Linked DNA regions of Lepisosteus oculatus. The protein of the gene in region 1 interacts with the protein of each later gene in a pairwise test. Links are inferred from orthologs where the notes say so. Each region holds a gene or a part of one and is shown in the gene's direction. Other genes may lie near its edges.

Region 1 (7,341 bases):
TCAGGTGTGAGAGAGACAAGGCAGTAGGCAAAGGTAATGTAGAGGGAGAAATATATACAGTATATGTTTTATTCCTTCATGGGGTACATCTGTGGAACATACAATTCAGGAAGACATTCATCTTAAATGCTAATATCTTTGATAGCTGTATTTTTTTCCTTTCGCTCATTAAACAGACAGTTCATAATGTATTAGGCTGGTAGGAAACTAACAGCAGTAAAAACAATAACCTCTTCCATCGTTAGTAACACTAATATTGTTAAACTTGTAGTCCAGATTTCCATAATTTTCAAAAAAGAAAAAAAGGGAAGAGGAAAAAATGTAATCTGTTGAAGGAGGTAAAAAAATCACATGATAAAAATATGAGGAAAAAGCAACAAAGATCTAATTCACTTTTGCTCAGGTTACAGTTACTTGCAAATGTAAAGATAAAACGATATGCAAATTGTTTTCAAGACAACAATACAGGATTTTGGAAATCAGTTAGCAATCCAACCCAAATCAGTCAAAGCCTAAATGCAGGAAACAAAAAACACAATCAACCCTATTCATTTACTTCTGGTCTAGTTTCTAACAGTGGTTAAGACAAAAGATAGCAGCAAAAAAAGTGTCTACACAGACCAACCTGCTCCAGGCACTCAGTCTCACCCCTCTGTTGTGTGGTGAGATATCCACACAGAGTTTAACAGCAGCACCTCTCAGGCAGCCAGCAAATCAGGCGAAAGACAAAGTTGTAAGAGAATTAAATGTGCCATCTATCCAGAATCTACTTAAATAACTAATTTCTCTTTAATGGAGCAGTAATATTTAACACTGGAATTATATACTTTACTGTTAGCTTTCCTGTTTCAATTGTTTCTATTCTATTAAACATAAGATTTAGCTTAAGATTTATTTCAATAAAAAGTAATCATGAAATCTAAAATACACAAAAGATTTACTACCTTTGTTTTACTAAACCTCCAAATGAGACACATTACAACTGAGGGTTTAACATCAAACTAAAAAAAAACAGTCAATGCAAGCCAGTAACTACAACACTTAGTATAATAACTGAAGCCCTTATTGTTGATGTAAATGAAAACAATTTTAATCTGCATGGACTCACCTGCAGGGTACAGCGGGCTCTAGCTCAATTTATTCCATGTCACAGAGTATATTGTTTTCATAAAATGCATACTAATTTCCTTGTTGAGGGGTGTAAAAGTGCGTAGTTTGTTTCAATTTCTATATATCTTTTGTTTTCTTGTGAAAACACCATGCAAATCATTTCAGCATCTGAGTTCTGAATATTTTGGAAGCGGATCAGAAACAGACTGCAGAGAAGCACCTGGATGTACTAGGTCATCTCATCTTGTTGGCTGAAATGGTCACTATTGCAAAGACAAAGCGCTGTGAGCACACCCTTCTCCTGGGCGTCTTTCCAGAGGCTACGTGAGGCAAAGGCGTACAGGAACGGGTTGAGGCAGCTGTTGAGGAACGTCAGAGATCCTGCTACATCGTTGCCTGCCTCCCACACACTCTCCAGCTTTGCAGATGCGTCCATATTGGAAGTCTTCAGGAGGATGGCGCAGACTTTGAGCACATTGAAAACGTGGCAGGGGAGCCAAAAGACAAAGAAGGCCACCACGATCCGAGTGGCCACCTTCTCCAGCCTCGTGCTGCTGGCGAAGGTAGTTTGTTTCACCCTCCTGGTGAGGCAGATGTAAGAGGTGGTCAGGATGGAATAAGGGATGACGAACCCCAGGAGTGTCTCCAGCAACAGGAGCACCACTCTCTCGCTGTCTGAGCTGTATGTCCTGGACAAACACATCTTCTGCAAGTCGCTGTCCTCCACCATGTCCCGGACTTTGATCATGGGGCTGGCGAAGAGGCTGGCGAGGGCCCAGATCCCCAGGAGCACAGCGTTCTCCCCCCTGTGGCGCAGCCTCAGCTTGGCCTGAGGGTAGAGAACCATGATGAATCGCTGCACACTCATCAGGGTGACGCTGAGCACGCTGGCGTACATGCTGCAGTAGATGATATAGGACAGGAACTTGCATGGGCCGCTTCCAAACACCCAGGTGGCCAGCAAGGCGTAGATCCAGAAGGGCAGGGTGATGAGTGTGAGGAGGTCGGTGATGGCCAGGTTCAGCATGAGCTTCACGGTGAAGGTGACTCTCCTCAGCTTGGTGAGCAAAGCCCAGATCACCACAGCATTGCCGGGGACCCCCACCAGCACGCAGAGCCCCAGGACAACACTGGGGGCCACAGCTCCCTGGGTGTGATTAGAGGCTGTGCTGTTGGACTGCTGCATTGTGAGAAGACCAGAGTGCTGAGAGACACTGACAGTCAGCTGGCTGAGGAAGTTGGCAAAAACCTCTATGCAATGAGGAGCCGGAACAGCTCAGACAGATAAACATGGTAACTTTACATTTTTGAAAATAAACTGAAATTTCATTTCACATTTTTAAGCTAACTAATTTTTCTATTCCAAAGCAGAGACCAGGAAGAGTCAATAATTATTTTTTAATATTATTTTTTATGCCCAGAATCTGAAAAGGGAAGTATATCTTTGCTTCTGAAATTGCCACATATAGTCAAGCCTTATTGCACACACTGAGAGATTAGCAGTGACAATATAAAATAGTTCATATAACAGACATAGAATCTGGCCTGGGGCACCTTCTGCGTGGTGTTCACAATGGTTTCCTGCCCCTTATACATGTTGGAGTGCCCTGTGATGGATTGGCAACCTCTGTCCAAGGTATTTTCTGCCTTGTGTCCATTGTCTGCCAGGTTACAGTACTCGACTGAATAGTCCTTGAAAATTAATGGATGAAAATGGACATATATAAGTCTGGGATTTAACATTAATGAGCTTCTCACCATTTCATAGCACTAAACAAACAGAACCAACTAAACAGACTTCAATTCCTACTTCACTTTGCATAATATCACTTCCAACAGCCATGTTTCACCCTTCATAAGAATCACCAGCATGACATGCAGAAGCTGTCTCTGGCCAGTGAAATGTGTGTGTACGTCTCACATTTCAGTACAGTACAGTATGTTACAGGAATCAACATTTTTGTTCTTTTTAAAATGTTTCATTTAATTTGAAAGATAATATCGTATGCATGTAATTATTTAACAGTGCCCATTAAAAGAAAGGCATAATTTTCAGCCAGCGACATTTGGGTTGTGACAGCACTTGTAACTCAGGCACCAGATTTCCTCTGGTGGAAACAGGGGGAATGCTTATTTTGACAAATTAATTCACTTACAGTCTGTGTTCACTTGGTTACTGTTCACTAGAAACCTTAAGTGGTGGATGAATAGCGGTCTGGATAACATACAGCCAGCAGTCATATCACCCTGCAACTCATCACTGACAGGCCATTGAAACTAAGCAAGTATGAGCCTGAGGTATGAGGTGTTAGTAAGGCCAGTAGGTGGTCACCCTGCAGTCTTTCTTGTAAAAAAAAGGGTCCGTCCTTTGGATGAGACGTAAAACCAAGGTCATAACTCTCTGTATTTATTAAAAATCCCAGTGTGTTTCTTGAAAAGAGTAGGGGTGTTAACCAAACGTCCTGGACAAATTTCCCATAACAATCATGGCCTCCTAATAATCCCCGTCTCTGAACTGGCTTCATTACTCTGCTCTCCTCCTCACTGATAGCTGATGTGTGGTGAGCGTTCTGGCGCACTATGGCTGCTGTCATCATCCAGGTGGGGCTGCATACTGGCAGTGGTGGAAGGGATCCCCATTACCTGTGTAGTACTTTGAGTTGAGTGTGTAGAAAAGCTCTAAATATGTGTAAGGAATTATAATTATTATGTTATTTAAATCACTGATCAGAACTTGGGCAAAGAACCATCAGCTCTCTGCAGCATCTTCTTGCCCTAATAACACCCCATTGAGGGTTGCCACATTAAACACTAAACAAATACCGTGCCCATATCCCAGAGTAACACATTCAAGGTGCCATTTACAGTCAATCACGTCAAGATAAAGCTATCTACCAAAAAGCATGTTCAATAAAAATGTCATTTAAATTAACCACTACTGTCCCATTAGAACCCACTGCTGCTACTTAACAGAGGTAAATCTTCTCAAAGATGCTTTCATTAGAAAATACAAATAATCCTGTCTGGTTTTACAAATTCAACTTCAACAAACGAACAGCGGTATTCTTATTAGAACGCACATCACATTCATTACTGCACGTTTCTGTTTTGATTTCAATTATCATACAATGGTAGCCATACAGCGACGTCTTCTGTCGCAAAGCCGGAGTCTGTCGTAAAACGGAAACGGGCCTCTTTGTTGTCCCGGATGTAGTTGTTTGTGGATAGTGGAGGGAGTGTGTGTGATTGTGGCCGGAATTTATTTGTTCGGTGCAATTCTGTTTTCTTTTGTTTTACATTTACAGAGTTCTTTAGAGAAAGGGTCCTTAGTCTTTATTTTTTCGCGGTGTTTTTTTTTACCACCGTTTTGCTTTTTGTGGGAATTAACAGGCTTTAGGAGAATCATGTCGGTCGTGCCTCCCAACCGATCACAGACCGGCTGGCCCCGCGGAGTCACTCAGTTCGGAAACAAATACATCCCGCAGCCGACCAAGCCGCTCACCCTGGAGCGCACCATCAACCTGTGAGCCTTGTTTCTACTTCCTTATCGTTGTTTGTCGCGGATCTTGCACAGCATTGCTGAACGAAAAATCTTATAGTATTTAATTTGTCTCTTTTTTTTTTGGCTATGCTGTTTTCTGTAAAGATCTCGACTTAAGTTTGTAATTGAACTTGCTTTCTGTCTGAACGATGGCGTAGAAACTCAGTATTGAGATGAAACGACTTTGCGTGGCCAGGCTAAATGATGGATGAGCCAGCTGGTGTCTTTTGAAAATGTTCCCCTTTACTGTGGTAAATGACGAAAAAGACTTAAGACTTAAGGCTGCAGGACGAGGAAATTAGTTCTCAAGCTGTAGGAGTCTTGTGCGTTAAAGGGCGGCCAGTTTAATGCCAGTCAACAAAGAAAATTTGCCAGTATGATGTTACAGTTCACCCATTTTCTCACTCTTTATCCAGTATAGGGTCACAGGGAACACTTGTGCTGAAAATGTCGTGCAGCACCAGTACACTACCAGGCTGAAGCCTTGGATGGGGCTCCCTCTCTGGGCTCCTGCAGCGGGTGTTGTCACCGAGCTGATTCGCTGAGTCTCTCTGTTGCAGGTACCCGCTGACCAACTACACCTTTGGCACGAAGGAGCCCCTGTACGAGAAGGACAGCTCGGTGGCGGCGCGGTTCCAGCGGATGCGAGAGGAGTTTGAGAAGATCGGGATGCGGCGGACGGTGGAGGGGGTTCTGATCGTGCACGAGCACAGGCTGCCGCATGTGCTGCTGCTGCAGCTGGGCACCACCTTCTTCAAGCTGTGAGTATCCAGCAGGGCTGGGGTGGCGTGTGTGACCTCCTGGCTATGAGGCTTGAGAGTAGGAACGCTGAACGACGACCTCCAGGAGAGGAAGCCATGGTTATCTAGGTGGCTAGTTAACTCAGGACAAGGCATTCTGGGTGAAGTGAAGAATTAAGACTGCTCTAAGGTGCTGACAGAATTAAGCCCAAGGGATCACTGACAGCTTAATGAGAGGAAAACCAGGGTCAGGTGGGATGAAGGAGGAGACAAGTGCAGGAGCTGGTAGTTGGAGTAAGCTAGGTGGTTCAGGCCGGCTCCTCGTGTGCACTCCAGGACCATCTGATCAGCAGCCACACAAGCAAGCAGGACCACATGACCCCTTGTTTGTAACCTTTCTTGAGTCCTGATGTCTTTATCTTGGCTTGTGTTCAAATGGAATTTTCTGCTTCTCTCAACTGACTCCTGCTTGCAGTTCTTATGTCTGAAATGGCTGCAGGTGTGTGTTGTTTTTACTGCGGCTCATTGAGTTGTTTTGTCTTTCAGACCAGGTGGAGAATTAAACCCAGGGGAAGATGAAGTGGAAGGACTCAAGCGCCTTATGACAGAGGTATTGATTTAGTAAAGAATTTCTTGTCTATCAAAAATGTATCTCTTTACACAGGTTTCTTTCTGTTTGATTGGTATTCTCATAGTACACTATTTTGCTTGATGTTTAAAATCCATTATCTGTGGTAGTTCATTTAGGTTAGCTTCTGAGGCTGTGATAGCTAAGCACTGATTTATAAGCAGGTTGTGTTTTCTTTTGTGACATCCATGTTCTGTCTGCTGTGTAGCACTACACACACTGAGTCTTCTCACAGTGTAAATGGAGAAATCCATTCTTTCTTTTCAGTTTTTTATGATGTGTGAGTGTTTACTGTGTTTTTTCATCAGTTTCATTAAAAGACTTGTGCTGCTGCTTTTTGGCCGACATGCAATTAGTTTTTAAAAGTTTTTTAATCACCAGATTCTGGGACGTCAGGACGGAGTCCAGCAGGACTGGGTGATTGATGACTGCATAGGCAATTGGTGGCGACCCAACTTTGAGCCTCCACAGGTTAGTCCTTCAGTTTAAGTGCCTACACACATGCACACAAAGTACAGCTGAGAACATAGGGAAGGTTACAAGATAAGATCACTTTATTGGCCATATACAATTTCTTGTATTAGGAATTTGACTTTTTGTATACCTCAACTTGCTCTCCATAAGACACACAGACAGGGAGAGAAGCTTGGGGTCAGAGCACAGCGTCAGCCATTTATACGCCACCCCTGTAGCAGTTGGGGTTAAGGGCCTTGCTCAGGGGCCTAACGGCATAGGATTCCTCTGGCAGCTGCGGGATACGAACCGGCAACCGTCCAGCCACAGGCGCAGATCCTGAGCCACAAAGCCACCGCATGGCCCCTACAAGTGAGAGGACCCCTGTTTGGCCCTACAAACTCGTTTGGTTGTTTGTAGATAATTGATCTGAAGAACTCATCCAGTCATTTCTCGAAAGAAACCAGCGTGTCAGCTTCAGTAGCATGGCTGAGTAGCTTATTTCTACTTCCAGCTATACAAGAATACTGTGAATACTGGAAGGATTAAGAAAACAAAAAGTGATCTACTTTCCATGTAACGTTTTACTACGGTCTCTTATTTAGTTTTTTTTCTGGCTTGTGTGAGGATTATTACTATCCATATTCAATCACAGACTGCTGGAAGCACAGATGTTTTATAAGTGTTGTACAGCACTGTGTATGTATATGTTGTGTGCTGACTCCCCTGAGTTGCTGTAACTCTTGTACCAGCTTCTCTTCCCACACTAAGGTAGTCTGTTCACATTCTCTTTTCGGTTTTGCTTTGCAGTATCCATATATTCCAGCTCACATCACCAAACCCAAGGAGCACAAGAAGCTGTTCCTTGT
Region 2 (7,701 bases), on another chromosome or scaffold:
TCAACTCAGATGGCTCCTGTATTCTGTGCAGAGGAGTCAGCTAACAAGTCGTTCACTTCCTCCAGTGTACAGTCAGTCAGTGAGCTGTCTCTCGGGCTGCAGCTGGAGCTGGTGGGTGAAGAGGGAGGATTTAGGCTCTCTGATCTCAGTAAGGATTGAAACATGCTGAATGGAGGTGGTATGGCTTAGCCTATGGCAGGGGTTTCCAGTCCTGATACTGGTGGCCCACACCCCTGCTGGTTTTTCTGACTGCCGAGCCCTCAGTTACACAATCAAGCCCTTCACTGACTTGATAATGATGACAGGAGTCACGGGAGCTGTTTGTTCTCGGCTCTTAAACATGTTTCAGCTCGAACCCTTTGTATTTTGTAAGTGAAATAAGATCCCAAGCTTGTGAGTCGAAACAAAAGGCAAATGTTCCAGCGAAGCAGCTCCTCAGATGAAGCGAGGCTCAGTGATCTCCTGAGAGCCAGCAGGTGTGTGGGGCGCCAGGACCAGGGCTGGGCACCGCTAGTCTAGGGCACGGGGTATTCTGACAGCTTCTTCATCCATCCATCCATATTCTACCTGCTTCTTCCAGTTCAGGGTCTGAGGAGGGGAGCTGGAGCCTATCCCAGCGAGCGACAGGCACGAGGCAGGATACACACATACGCTCCACATGAACATCCGAATCCGAGCCACCTTTATTCACCCAGCACAATTCATGTACAAGGAATTTACTCCGGTGCTGCAAAGACATTCTACATAAGCCATACACAAAGAAGACAATAGACAGCGTTAGGACACTGCACATAGAACTAGGGTTCTGAATAAGCATAAAGACAGCCCTTGGAAAGATGCTGTTTGGTTCTGGTTTCAGTAGATGTAACGTCTTCCTGAGGGACATTTATGAAACAGTAACCTGGGTGGGAGGGGTCATCAGCAGACTTTCCTATTTTCTTTGCTCTGCAATTTACACAGGGAGAACATGCAAACTCCACATAGATAGCACCCCAGCTGCATGGGGTAAAGGGTGAATGGGCCTAGTTGCAGAATTGTGCCTCTTGTATGATTTTCTGTACTTTCCTTCTGGTGAAATGGTAACTGTGGATGAGCCTTTCTATTCTGACTACATCATGACATCATCACAACATCACGACATCAGGTCTGAACCAGCAGGTCTGCTGCACTGTGGCTACATTTCTCCTGGTCCCGAAACAAATGCTGTTTTGTACACTTACTCAAAAACTTACATTCCTTTTCTTATGAACAGACTGGCTACACTGCACTGTCAGTCTGTACTGTGCATTGTGCGCTGCTCTGTCTGCACGGAACCGTCCAGCCAGTACTGCGCTCAGCTCCCTGATCACAGAATGATGTCATCATACAAAGACCCTTAGACTAGAGGGTAGACTATGACATCACCAGGCGACTGCTGGCTCCCTGGGCTGGACGTCCGCCATTTCAGCTCGCACGAGGGCCTTTGGCAACCTGGCCGAGGAGAGAGCAGGTGAGCCATGCGGGAGCTCCCTGCCAGTCCGAACCACCACCCAGCGCTGCCCGGGGACCCGGGTGATGAGTGAGGTGACCGAGGCTAGCGTGTCCAATCGGACGGGGGCTGTGGTTCCGGGTAGGGTCTCTCAATGGTTCTGTCGTGGGGCACGCCCCTCTGCCCCGTCCCGCTCCCCTCACCGAGCAGTAGCCCTGGCACTGGGGCACCGGGGCACTGGGGCTCAGGGCTGCATCCCTGCCAGCCTGGGCCCCCCCCCCAAGCCCCACACCACCCCCAGTACCATTGCCACCGTCACGCCATTGTCGCGGCTGCGGCCATCTCTCGCTGGGGGTATGGCTTCACATCGCCTTCACACGGCTGCTGGGAGGACAACCAGCCGCGGGCAGGCAGGCGCTGACGCTTGGCCCGCGGGGCTCTCTGTGCCTGTGTGCGTGACTCCTGCGTGTCCGTCCTGCAGTGCGTCTGCCGCATCTCTGTCTGCGTGCGTCGGGCTGTCTCCGTTTCCCTGCCAGTCCTCCCCAGCTCCAGGCCCGGAGGGTGGCTGGCAGGTCCTGCGCGTTCTGATTCGGCACGGGGCATCAGGGACGGTCTGATCGCAGTGGCATTCAATTAATTCTCAGAAAAGAAAGTTGATTGCTTTTGAATTAATATTCAGCGCTAATTAAAAACGTTTGAGATCCTTTTTTCCCAACGGATACAGATGGATGAAACTTGTACCTATATTTAGATAAGATAAGATCACTTTATTGGCCCTATACAATTTCTTGCTTTAGGAATTTGTCTTTTCACACACCCCAGCTTGCTCTCCATGAGACACACAGACAGGGAGAGAAGCTGGGGGTCAGTCATTTATACAGCACCCCTGGAGCAGCTGGGGTTAAGGGCCTTGCTCTGGAGCCCAACAGAGTAGGATTCCTCTGCCAGCCGCAGGATTTGAACCATAGGTGCAGATCCTTAGCTACAGTGCCACCACTCCGCCCTCCAGCCCTTTCAATGAAACACTGAAACTATGGCTCTTCCAATCCCATTTATTGTAGTTTCTGCAATACTTGGTGCTAACCAGGCTATTGTTAAAAAGAGAATGATTTAAAATATATGTAAAAATAGTTAAAATAGTACTTAAAAACAAAGCGAAACCAACCAGTGCAGCTCTGCAGGTCTGAGTCAGGTCAGTACCTGAATGAGAGACCTCCTGGGAAAAACTAAGGTTGCTGCTGGAAGAGGTGTTAGTGGGGCCAGCAGGGGGCGCTCACCCTGGGGTCCATGTGGGTCCTAATGCCCCAGTATAGTGATGGGGGACACTATACTGTAAAAAGGCACCGTCCTTCAAAAGAGATGTAAAACCGAGGTCCTGACTCTCTGTGGTCATTAAAAATCCCAGGGCGTTTCTAGAACGTAGTAGGGGGTGTTATCCCCCGTCCTGGGCAAATTTCCCATTGGCCCTTACCAATCATGACCTCTTAATAATCCCCATCTGTGAACTGGCTTCATCACTCTGCTCTCTTCCCCACTGATAGCTGGTATGTGGCGAGCAGACTGGTGCATCCTCCAGGGGGTGCTGCACGTGAATAATTTCTAAGTAATAATTGCTTACACTTATATAGCACTTTTCTGGACACTCCACTCAAAGCACTGTAATAATAATAATAATAATTGCTTACACTTATATAGCGCTTTTCTGGACACTCCACTCCACTCCGCTTTACAGGTAATGGGGACTCCCCTCCACCACCACCAGTGTGCAGCACCCACCTGGATGATGCGACGGCAGCCATAGTGCGCCAGAACGCTCACCACACATCAGCTATTAGTGGGGAGGAGAGCAGAGAGTAATGAAGCCAATTCATAGATGGGGATTATTAGGAGGCCATGATTGGTTAAGGCCAATGGGAAATTTGGCCAGGATGCCGGGGTTACACCCCTACTCTTTTCGAGAAACACCCTGGGATTTTTAATGACCACAGAGAGTCAGGACCTCGGTTTTACGTCTCATCCGAAGGACGGCACCTGTTTACAGTATAGTGTCCCCGTCACTATACTGGGGCATTAGGACCCACGTGGACCACAGGGTGAGCGCCCCCTGCTGGCCCCACTAACACCTCTTCCAGCAGCAACCTTAGTTTTTCCCAGGAGGTCTCCCATCCAGGTACTGACCAGGCTCACACCCGTTGAGCTTCAGTGGGCTGCCAGTTGTGAGTTGCAGGGTGATATGGCTGCTGGCTATATCACCAGCAGCCATATAAATTGGTGGTGGTGGAGGGGATCCCCATTACCTGTACAGTGCTTTGAGTGGAGTGTCCAGAAAATACGTGTAATATATATGGGAAAAAGTCATAGGTTTATTCCATGATGAAAAGAGAAGAAAGAAAACACAACATTTCGGCTGTGGAGCCTTCTTCAGGTTGTGTTTTCTTTATTCTCTTTTCAGCGTGGAATAAACCTATTACTTGTTCATTTGCAGCCTACGCATGCTGACGCAGCTACCCACCTGATCTACTTCAATATATATATAAGGAATTCTTCTTTTTAAAAATTCTTCCTTTATTGTCGTGTAGTTGCAGCTTGTATACACTAGGGGACCCCTTCGGTTCAGTCAGCAGAGGTCATTCATCAGCCTCCGACCTCTCTCCGTACCGTAAATATGAATCCATGGGTGCAACGAAATTCTAAACTGATTTTGAGAAATGATCATTGAGGATAATAAAGGCCGATATTCATATATGGTTATATGCATTTTAATTTTAGATACGTTGTACGACCGCTTTGTAAGCCGCAGAAATATTTTGACAGCGGCTGCTGAAGTTTACAAACTACAGCGTCTCCTCGTGAATCTTCGTCCCCTCCCCGTTATAATTATGTGTGCGCCTCACTATGGGGTACTACGGTAAACCCAATGAAGCCAACGCCCGCTGAGCCGGGCTGCGATTGGTTGGCGGCGCTGGGCTTCAGTAAACAGTGACGCAAGGAGTAGGTATTACAGGCCCGCCGCCCTGGACCGGCCCACATTCCTGCCGTCGACCGACAGACTCTGAACTCCAGCAGCCCGGGCAGCGAAAATGGTGGGTGTTTTCTTATTGTGTCTTACACAGGCGGATCAGGATATAACAGGGGTATATCGGGATGCAGGGATGCAGGGTTAAGCAGAAGCATAGGCTCTTCTAGTTTTGCGTTGAAGGGTGCTGAAGTGACAGTGTAGCCCAAGCTGGCTGTGGGAGGGCCTTTTTTCAAGAATGCTCGCTGTTGGCTACCCTTGTCTGGGGCACGATTAATGAAATACCGCTCGTCTCGCCGAGCCTGGGGATTGAATATGATTTGAAGCGGGATGAGGCGGACCTGTCCCGGATACATCTCGTAAGTTCGTCCGGTTGCGTTTGAGGTAGATAGGTGAGGTATCCGGGGGTGTGAAGTTGTTTTATACAGCTTAATAACACCCCCAACCCCACACCCTCCCTCTGTTATCAGTGACCAGGAGTCCTATATCCGCAATTAGCCTGAAATTAGCCTTGTATCCGCAATGGAGGTGTTGCGAATGCTTCTATCATTTGGTATTAGTGTTTGATTTGTGTCCCTGTTTTCTCTCCGTTTTTGTTTTAATAAAACAGTCTGACTTCTCAGAAGACCAGATTCTTGGTAAGTCTTTTACCTTTTACATGTTTCTTGTCGAAAGAGCTTCGGGGTTTTGTGGATCTGAAAGTTATTTTTTTTCCGTCAGGAGAGACGGTTCTCTTGTCTCATCTTCAGCTTCTGGACACCGGCTTACTGCTTCATCTGTCTGTTGAGTCCTATCACATCTTCCTCTTTTCACCTTTCCTTCTCTCTCTCTCTTCTTTTTTAAAAAAAAAAAAACAACTTGCAGATTGAGTTTAAACCAGCACAGATCTACGGTAAGTTGTCAATGCATTGCCGTGCGTTGTGATCAGACTGAGGTTAGAGATAAGTACAGGCCGGCGAATGTGTTCATGCCTGACACGGGAACGTCGCCTTTAATCATGCAGGAGTGCTCTCACTGCACAGGAAGCGCAGAAGTCGGGTCTGGTGTGTGTGGCTTTGCTGAATTAAACCCTGGCGTGACGTTTGATGGGGTTGAAGTGTTAACTAACAATAGGGCGACTGTGAAATTCTTTTTCCTGGGTTTTGCATGCGCGAAACGATTAACGTGTTGTGACTCCTGCTACTATTCCGCACTGGCGACTACCAGGCTTGGGTGTGAGTGTGCGCAATGTCCCACCTTTCAATGGAAAGGCACGGTGTCAGACTGAGGCCAGGAGGCTGTGAATGTCAGATGTGTAAATACTGACTTGAGATGTCCTTATAGAGGTGAACTGCTAGCCCGCATGTGTAATGATCGACTCTGCAGCAGTGTGAGGAAATGGCCGTCTATCAATCCCTCCCTTCGGTGGATTACTCTTGGGGAGGAAATGCGCCGGATATGGACTAATCTGTTACTATCCCGAGCAGGGCGTTGAAATATACAGATGGCGCTCGTTTCTGAAATAAGCTTGTCAGTTTTGTCGGTCTGTAATTCCCCCCCAGCATCTTGTCAGAAAAATCGGGAGAGAGACCCGAAGAGTTAAACCGGAAGTACTTGGCAACGGTAAAGTTGTTGTAGTACAGAGCTGTAAAATGCTGTGTGAAAAGCGTGTCATGGGACTTGTATTGCACTTGAAACTCGGGTTAAAGCTCCGAAAACGATTGTTTGAGCGCTTTTATGCCCCTTTGTCGTTCTCTTTTCTTCCGAAGTCCCGTTAGCGTGTTTCGCCGTCGACAAGAAAGACAGAACAGGAAATGGTTAAGAAAGTGTTTCGAGTATCCGGTGAAATGTGAATTTCTTACTCGGGTCGGAGATTAAAGTTGATGGGGAGTCCTTCTGCCTGAAAGCTGCTTTTTTTCTAGGCTAGTATCTGGTTTTTGGTGTGTGTGTGTTGAGGGGTGGTGGTCTAAACGGCCATCTCCTTTTTTGGTTTCCTGGACGGCTTTCGGCCGGTTTCCTCTCTGGTGTGCTGAAGCCGCGATGGTGACTGATAACACCCTTGCCTGCCTCCCTCCGTCTCTCCGCGCCTTATATGGTGAAGAGAGTCCTGGCTGCTCCCGGGAAGAGCCCGCATTCCTGCCGGCAGGAAAAACGAACACCATTACGCGGCAACGTCAGGAAATTCCGCAGCGTCTTTCCAGACTCTCTCCCTCCCAAATCCCAAACAGTCCCTTGCGCGTTCCCCGGGATATTCCTTAATTGGCGTTTTAGCATTTCCCGACCCTCTCCCTTGCGGAGACGGTCCTCGCCTGATGATCCCGTTTTTGTATTTCAGCGTTTGTTTGGGTTTTTTTAACCCCTCCCTCCCTCCTTCATCTCTTTATCATAAATTCCCAGTCGACGGGAGCTTTTGCACAAGATTTAAAACGAAAACTCGAGAGGCTTCTTCTTCTCCACCAGCCTTGTGCCCTTTCTGGTGTAATGGAGTGGAGTACAAACCGGGAAGGCCTGTGACCCAGTATGTCCTCTAGTTCTGTCTTTCGCTCTTTTTGAGATGTTGGAGCGGAGGTCAGGGGCTCTGAACGCCCAAGTGGAAGGCTGTAGGTTCATATCCTGGGTTTGGCCCATCTCTTGGATTGCTGCCTTATAGTATACAGATGTAGTCTCAATTTGTATGCCATTGACTGTAAGAATTACAATACCAGGCGGCTTAAAGTCGAGTTCCCTGCCTTGGTCCTTTGAACCCTCGTGTCTAATTTCCATCTTGCCATCTGATCCATTATACAGTTGAACCAGAGACTGACCTCCTATCTGCATTCACTTTAGCCCCTTTAATTGGTTTCAGTCCCTGAACATGTCAGAGGTCCCCTTTTAATTAGTGTGTTTTTAACTGTTCTCAAAGGCTGAAGCTTTTAGCTTTTAGCTTTTGAGTTGGGAACTCCAGAAATAAAGGATTAAAAGTACAGTAGATGTCACCTTTCATTGTCCTTAGAGGTTTGTTTTTTTGCTGCAATAGGTATTCAGTCTGTAATGCTAATGCGAATGGAACAACAGATCAAAAAGATTCAAGGCTGGTATTTCCAGATGCTTTTTGCAGGAGCAGTGTTGCAGTGTCGAAGTGGCATCCAGGGATTGTGACAATAGCGTGCGTGACGGCACTGTTCTGTGGGCACGCCTCGCTGCGCCCTAACAGCACTGTGCGCCCTGGGGCGTCTGCCAAGCGCCGCTGAAATATTAA
Region 3 (8,034 bases), on another chromosome or scaffold:
TGAGATAATTGGATCATTTAACTACTAACAGCTTAAATGGGCTAGATGGCTCAAATGAATTTGTAACCAATAAACCAATACATTTTTGTTGTTTTTGTCTGTTTTGTCATTTTGTGTGTTTCAACATAGTTTATTTGTTACCTCAAATGGATAGTCAAGTCCTTCTGGCTGGATTATGTAAATACCACTTGGAGTTTTGGAAATGGACTGTACTGTGTCTATAATATCACTGCAATCACGCCCTAGAAACAGTAATCAACATGAAAATATTAGCAGAATCAGACTGTAAATGACACAGAAAGATGTTTCCACCTGTGGGACAAAAAATATCAACCAATCATTTAACTTTGTTTTCCACTTTAATAACATTTAGATTTGCCTCTCATACCATATATTTATTATATTCACTATTTATTCTCTATTTAAGTTTATAATTTAATTAACAAAAACACTACACAAATTATCCCTTTAGGGATAATTTCTCATAAAAGATCGTTACAGTCATCTTCTTGAAATGTAGTATATACAGATAGATACAGTAAGTATATCATTTATACATACAGTATATACATTTATGGCTGGAGGCCCCACGTGAGTCTCTTGGGAAAGCCAGTTTACACAATAATAACATACACAGTTCCATAGCTCACAACAATTATATCAATATTCCAACACAAATACAAATACCTTCTGGTACCAGTTTAGGAGTCGTAGTTACACTCATAGTCAAGAGCTTTGGCAATGATTTGGCTTTATACATCAGTGACCAGTGTAGAAAAGACAAAAAAATAGGCTTTAACATGAGAGAGGTAAATGTATGACCTTACCATGTGATTGTACTGGCTTATGTGGAAATGGCTCAATGTTGTTCTTTAAGACTTCTGTACTGAGTGTCAGAACTTTGTTCATCAGTTCCCTTACCTGTGAAAATAAAAGCAAAGTTCAAGGTGTATATAAAACTGATTAATTTAATCTTTATTGCCCCTAAGGAAATTCCTCTCGGGCATATCAAGAACTCATAAACACTTTACATGTTTATAATGATTATACAATAACAACAACAGTACAATGCCATAATGCAAAACAACATTTAACAACATCGCTCAATCAGAACTCTTCTCCTACCATAAGATGAAAATAATAGGCAATTAACTTGTAGAGACTTGTTTTTTCCCCCCAAAAAAACAATAAATAAACATAATGAACATAAAACAAGAAGAAGATCCCTACCAGAAAACACTATTCCACAATTGAATAATGTTTTAGGTATAAAGGAATTAAATGCTCTCTTAGTCTTTAGGGAATCATGTTCCTCCTCCTCCTAGAGCTCTAAATACAAAAGGTAAGAATGCTCTGAATAAAAATGTCAACATTTTGCTTTCTGTTTAAAAATTAGTTTTCGTTTTAGAACTAGAAAAGCTCAAAAAACACTCTCATATGTCACTAGTACCTTCTGAAACGGCAAAAGTCATTACATTTCCACGAAAATAGTCCAACTGTGTTTGGATTCTTTTGAGGCTGTTATCCATTCCTAACTGCCACACATCTCATGCAAGAAAATGTACATTGCTATAGCTTGCCTGGCTTGAAAGAAACTCCAGTGATTTCTGGTGATCCTCCATCATGCCTCTAATCATTTTCCTTGTGCTCCTCGTGTAGGAAACAAGAGAATGGTGTAAGTTTCCTTAAAAAGATAGATAAAACTGCATTAATTTGTGGTATCAATTCAGGGTATACGGGTCGTGGATATAAGCCAAACCCATTCCGTGTACACTTTACTTTTAAAAACAGAAAGTCAAGTCCACAGTCCTCAGTGTACGTACTGCACATCAGGTGTTTCTCCTCCTTCATGAGCTTTGCTGACATTTCACATTGCGTAAGGCAGGTCTCATGCCTGTTTTCTCTTGATGGCTTGGAGAGTCTGGGTTTCATGTTTTCACCATGGTATTTTCCCTTCGCCGTTGTAGACTGATTTATAGCTGAACTGCTTTCACTGATTTCCTTTTAGCAGACAAAGAAAACATTTTCAATCATGCCAAACTGATCGGGATCACATAGGCTTATGTTAAGTCATCTGAACCAATGCGTTTTATAAAGTTCTATAGTTACCCGCTAATCTAAAATGTAAACAAGTGAACTCTTTTTCTTATGTTTTTGATTAGCTAAATCTTATGTACCTCCAAAAATAATGAACTGATGAAACACATTTTTCATTTTATTTCTTTTCATTTTGTTACTAAGACATTAATAAAATATCAGAAGGTAGACTATTTATTTTTTTAGCCAGTGCATAAGTGGATTTAATATTTTTTTCAGCTTTACTTAGTTCCTCATGTGAGCTGTATCTTTAAATATGTCTCTGGAAACACTGTTTTATATTTGTACTTTTTGCCTGCTGGCCAAGAATACGTTTTTGCCAGGACCCAGGCAGGAATGCATTTTCTTGTATCCCCTAGTTTGTGTTTATCTTTTTATTATAGAACTGAATATCTCATTCCTCAAATAGCAAACAAGGATAACTAATCTCTGTATGTCACCCACAACATCATACTGACATTTTTTTTTATTTTGTTTTAAAGAATATACCCCATAAACCACAAGACCTCAATACTTGAATGGGGAAAACCCATTAGCATGGCACATTGGAAGCAGAAACAATCAATTTCTTCTCAGGAGATTAGCTTCAGTATTTAGGTAGATTCTTAATGGTGACATTGCATTAGAATTTCCCAATGTGTTTTGCATATAAATGATCATAGTTAATACTGTGGCAAATTCTTCCTAATTTTAAATCTAACAGATCACAAATATCTAACAATTATAGATGCATTAGACTACAGACTGGGCTGACATACCAAGAACAACTGTTATGTTTCTCCTCTTTACTCCAGGAGAATTTGAAGTTTGTTAAGGTTGGAATTAATTATCAAATGTTGAACAGAGACATGCAAGCTGTTTCCTGTTTCTCTATGTACAAAAATCCAATGAAACTTCAAAGGTTGCTTTCTGTTAGGAGTGCATTTAATTAACGCTTAAATCATTAGAAGCAACCCTAAGTGTGAATGTGAATCTGTCCCTTCTATTCACTCATACTGTACGTCTTGAAGAATGAAAAAAAGTAAAAAGGGATTGAAAATATTTTACAGCACAGATGTCTCCTTAAACATGTACAGTGGATGCATATATGTATGTATGTAGCTCATCTATGTTACCAAACAGTTCCATGCATCTTGTGTTTTTTAAGAAATGCAAACTTTAAAACACACTTTAATACTGCACATACAACTCCGAAATTCAATTTAGAACTAAATTCAAGTGCTCTGGTTCAGTTTTTTTTTTTCCGTACAGGAAATAATAGCAATTTTAAGATATCTAACAAAAATACATACCACAGAGTTGGTCGATGTTGTCTGGATGTCATGGAGAACAGATACAAACAAAACTGGGAAGAAAAGCCTTTTCATTTTCCTTTAGGAAGACGTTTTCTAATGTGCTGGTCGGTTTACTGAGTCTCATGAGCCCTCGGTACCACAGCTTCAGGAACTCAAGACGCTCTGCTGGCATCTGCACAACAGCAAAGAGCCAAAACAAATGACTTTCTCTCAACTGCTGAAAGCGTTCAGGACAGGATATGATTTGGGACTGTGTCAAATCAATTTAAATATTGTGCACTGCTGTGTTCTTTTAGCACTGTTTAGTTTTGTATTGCACAGGCATATCACAAAGCGAAATGCTAGACAAAAATGTTGAGCACTGTTTCTTAATTCAGATTTACCAAGAAACAAACAATAACATTTCTGCAAAATGTAACTTTAACCCTTTAACAGCTTCTTTAGAAAGCAGCACAAGTTTGCTGTTATTTTCCTAAAAATAGAGTAAAAAATACAGTGTATATAAATTCCACAGTATTGAAGAAAGATTGCCTACAACTACTGGTATGTACAAGATGCTTATGGAATGTAATTCTGTGTCTGTAATGTGCATAGTATTTTGCAGTATGGTTCATCTGTTCACACTTGGAGCTCCACATAAATTCCTTGCCCTTCAGGTTTTATAGACAAAACCAGGGGGAGCACATTGTAAAGTGAGATTTTATGTACTCTGCATCTGCAAAGAATTACGTACAATATGCAACATACAGAAATATGTTTGCTAGACTAGTATGTTTATTGACTTAAGTTTTCATACAGTATTTACAAATCTGAAGTGTTAGCCTATTGGAAGACCACACACCCAACAGTGAATAACAGGTTTCACTGAGTAGTGGCAAACAGGCTCAGTGAAGCAAAAGGCATAATATTGTGCCTTGGAAGGGATTTTAGAATAATTTTGAAATCAGAAAAAGATCGTAATTATTGAAAAGACATGAAATATTAGCTGACATCAGAAATTCAGAACAGTAGCACACATTTGCCCAAATGCAAAACATAAATTGTTATTCTTTGGGAGGAGCTCTGAATTAAAATGTCAGTTAAATTATTTGATCAAGCAAGTCTATGCCTTAGTTTTTTTGTACCCTAACCCTAAAACACAAGAGTACGCTGATCATCATCAAGTGTGTAAAATCGACAAATTGTGTCCATGTTTATTGCAGTTATAATAAAGTAGTAGTAGGATAGGTAAACATAAATAATTATTTATAAGAATAAATAATTATTATAGGAATTATAATTGCGATAACAGCTATAATCTGCCGGACTTCTCCTGCCGTCCGTCGTTTCCTCCTTTTCTCGGCCCCACTCTCAACCTGCGCCTAGTTTCCGTTGTCAAGGAAGCGGCGTCTCTGGTTGTCAACATGGCGGGGCTAATTAATCTAGAGGTTCAGCAGAGCAAAACTTTTACTTAGCTGGAAAACCCAGTCAAATTGTCAACGCTGAATTCGGAAATAAGAAAAAAAATGAGAAGCAACAGAAGATCATAACGAGCGCTTGACTACAATGGCACATCGCGCCGCAGTTTCAACGTTTTCGTTCACACACAAACTGTGGGTTTATTTTGGCGTGAAGCGGAGGACAGCCGGCTAGCGCATTTCGGAATACAGGCTGGGGATAATCCGTTTCTTAAAATACGTGTACGATCGCTGAACTTGGTTTGAATGAAGATTGTGACCAGTTTGGAGAACTCTTCAACGTCGTCCCATCCTGGGATTCAGGATGCACGTCCAGAGGGCCAGCTCCTATTCGTATCCTTAAATCGATGTCTGTTTAGTTATAAGTCTATTTCTTTTGCTAGAAGCTACCTCAAGATCCTAGTTCTAGAAATGTTTTTTATGACGTTGTTGTTGTTGTTGTTGTTGTTGTTGTTGTTGTTGTTGTTAACCACCTTCAATTACTATTGGTGTAGGTACTGTATAGTCATTCATTAAAAGACCAAATATTTTCAGGCAGTGTGCTTCAAATTTGATAGACAGTCATCACAGAATATTCACTTACTGTATTACACTTTTTTTCCTCATTTTGGACTAGCTAGCTAATTTATTTGTATTTTTCCTTATGAGTATCTTCACCCGCTATTGATGCCAGTGTATATATGCGTGTGTGTATGAGTCTATGTGTATCTGTCAAAGTCATATCACTTTGCAATCTGATCTGAGTATTTTGGCCTTTGGCTGACAGAGATCATTTAGAGGTAAGAGGTATAGCAACTACAATTAAGTTACAAAACAAGGAAAAAATGTTTAGATATATATACCTGTATACAGTATTGCTGCTTTTCAAAGTGTCTTACATTTGTCTGCTCCGTTACCTCCTTTGCCATTATAGCGACCACCATACTGCACTGTAAAAAGGGAGTGGCATAATTTGTGTGACCGCTGCACTTGGCAATCATAGCACAACAAACAAGCAAGAAGAAAAGCCTTTCCCCAGCTTTGTGAATGGTTTTCAGTCACTTGATAGCATGGATGGATTCTTATCTTCAGTTTTTTCATAATTAATTTAATGTAATGACCTTACAATTTTCCTTTTTTCCCCCCCTAGTACTTAATTCAGATTGGAAACTTTCTGAAATTGCAGTAATCCAACAAATGTTTTAGAAACTAGGTATTGCAGACTATTGTTTTCCTTGTGGTAAATAAAGATGGACCACTGGTAGTGTACTATTAACACAAAAGCTTCCCTTTTCAGCTCATTAAAGGCTGGCTCTTTGTGGGTTTTTATTTTTAACTTTTATGCTAGACCCTTCTTTGACAGGCCTATATTTTAATGTGCATGTGCTTCTGGACTACTGCGCAACTGGTGAAGGCAAAATCTCCTTTTTACCCCCATGTCCTGAAATTCCTTAACGTTGTCTGACGTTAGAAATATAAAAACAGAGCTAGAACGGCCGTTGAAAGATGACCGTCAGGTTCTGGTTGAGGAACAGAAGGCATGCAGAGCTCGTGCTCGAAAATTCTCCTTGGAAACCAATCGACGTAGGAGGTATGTTTGGTACTGTATGTTGTTTTTTCTTGTATTTTAAGAGGTTAAATTCAGTTGCAGTATCCACAAAAATATATAATTTATACTCATACAGAAAAGAAATGCATCACTATGATCTACTGGATTAAATAAAATATATATCATAACAAGAACTCAAAAACTGTGCACTACATACAGAGCTGATCAATCATGAGACCATTTCACTATTAAACATACTGTCAAAATGAAGACATTACAAAGTTAGTATTGTATTTGACCTCCCTAAGCATTCAGACAATCTTGGCAGTGTTGACCTGAAAGTTGTGAATAGACTGTGCATGGGATGTTGCACCACATGCAGCCAGATGGTGAAGGTTGGCCAGTTGTGTTTTTTTCTATTGATGGTGTGGGTGAATAATTCCCACAAGTGTTCTGTGGGACTCAGATCAGGAGAAAAAGCTGGCTACTGTACACATTAACAAGTCCTTTCATGGACAGCGATGCCAACATCAGCCAGCAGTCCTCATTATTCAAACAAGACGCGGCTGTATCTTTCACCTTCTTTGCATTAATTGAAGCATTTTTGTTAATTACTTTCTGAAGGGCTATTGATACTTATTCTTAATCACTTTATTTTGGCAATTAATCCAATTCAGGTATCAAATACTGAGTACGTGGCATTTTTCCGAAGTCACATGACTGTTTTCATTGTTTTTCAGCATACAGCATGTAGAAAACTTTTTGTAAAGTTGTACTAAAAAACATCTGTTAACAGAAAAGAGGCAACTTGAACAGAAATTGACAATCACATTTAATGTGTTTGCAGGAAGCACTGGAATTGTTAGTTTTTTTATTATAGCACTAAAGATAAGCATTAATATCACATAAACATATAAGAAAAAAGTATGTTTTCGCACCAATCCCATAATGTTAAATTATGAGGCTGTACATTGCCACCAATCCAGCTGATGGTGTAGTTTTCCTATGCAGAACAGTTGTAGCAGTCAGTGAAAATGGTTTGAAGGAAAAAAGAGAGATCCTGTTATTCAATACTTCACTTGCCAGCAGGATTTCGTCTGCTGAAATTAGATTTCTTAATTGGTAACGGTAATGCAATTTATAAGAGGCAAGATTAGATTGGCTAGACTGAAGTGTTCTGCTTAAAATGAGTTCATCCCAAGGTAAAGCACAAATCTCAGACAATTAATAACCTACTAAATCTCAGCATCTTAGCAGCTCCTGGAAAGAGATTAAAATAAAAGGTTCAGTAGAAAAAAAAATGTTCTGTATGTAATGATAGTAGACTAAATACTACAAACTGATTACTTTCAGAAGACATGTATGAAGTATTTTTGTGCAGCTTCTAAGAATAGATTCAAATTGCTATCTTTGTCGTAGTTGCAGTTTAGTATTTACTTTCATTCTGTACTGAACTTGGACATCGCTTTAACCTCTTTGTCTTTGTTAGAATGCTGTCAGGTTAGAAATTTAAGTTTATTTGTAATTAGAAAAAAAACTATTATTTACATCAGCCTTGATACAGTATACTGCAAAGATCCTGTATTAATATACAGTAGGATCTCTGGTGTCATAGACACTTAACAGCTGGAGTTCATCTACTGAGTTGCATTTGTCA

What was found. The genes of interacting proteins can lie anywhere in the genome.
Region 2: the proteins of nudt21 (region 1) and myosin light polypeptide 6 interact in binary tests that used the Homo sapiens proteins (3 or more experiments, as listed by UniProt). The two-hybrid records come from large-scale screens. The link is inferred for Lepisosteus oculatus from reciprocal best matches to the Homo sapiens genes NUDT21 and MYL6.
Region 3: the proteins of nudt21 (region 1) and cep126 interact in a two-hybrid assay, tested with the Homo sapiens proteins (2 studies listed by BioGRID and IntAct). The link is inferred for Lepisosteus oculatus from reciprocal best matches to the Homo sapiens genes NUDT21 and CEP126.

What each region holds. Positions count from the first base shown.
Region 1 is NC_090715.1:903,407-910,747, forward strand, and holds the start of nudt21 (cleavage and polyadenylation specificity factor subunit 5), read left to right. Parts: upstream 1-4,300; 5' UTR 4,301-4,514; coding exon 4,515-4,633; intron 4,634-5,211; coding exon 5,212-5,412; intron 5,413-5,937; coding exon 5,938-6,001; intron 6,002-6,385; coding exon 6,386-6,490; intron 6,491-7,282; coding exon 7,283-7,341. Other genes in the region: gpr190b (leukotriene B4 receptor 1), read right to left, coding at 1,340-2,296. UniProt on the Homo sapiens protein: Component of the cleavage factor Im (CFIm) complex that functions as an activator of the pre-mRNA 3'-end cleavage and polyadenylation processing required for the maturation of pre-mRNA into functional mRNAs.
Region 2 is NC_090696.1:19,647,034-19,654,734, forward strand, and holds the start of myosin light polypeptide 6, read left to right. Parts: upstream 1-4,469; 5' UTR 4,470-4,548; coding exon 4,549-4,551; intron 4,552-5,094; coding exon 5,095-5,122; intron 5,123-5,348; exon of another isoform or gene 5,349-5,376; intron 5,377-7,701. UniProt on the Homo sapiens protein: Regulatory light chain of myosin. Does not bind calcium.
Region 3 is NC_090700.1:8,341,283-8,349,316, forward strand, and holds the start of cep126 (centrosomal protein of 126 kDa), read left to right. Parts: upstream 1-4,802; 5' UTR 4,803-5,153; coding exon 5,154-5,182; exon of another isoform or gene 5,183-5,186; intron 5,187-6,299; coding exon 6,300-6,419; intron 6,420-8,034. Other genes in the region: angptl5 (angiopoietin-related protein 5), read right to left, coding at 142-242, 828-921, 1,581-1,684, 1,824-2,001, 3,390-3,464. UniProt on the Homo sapiens protein: Participates in cytokinesis. Necessary for microtubules and mitotic spindle organization. Involved in primary cilium formation.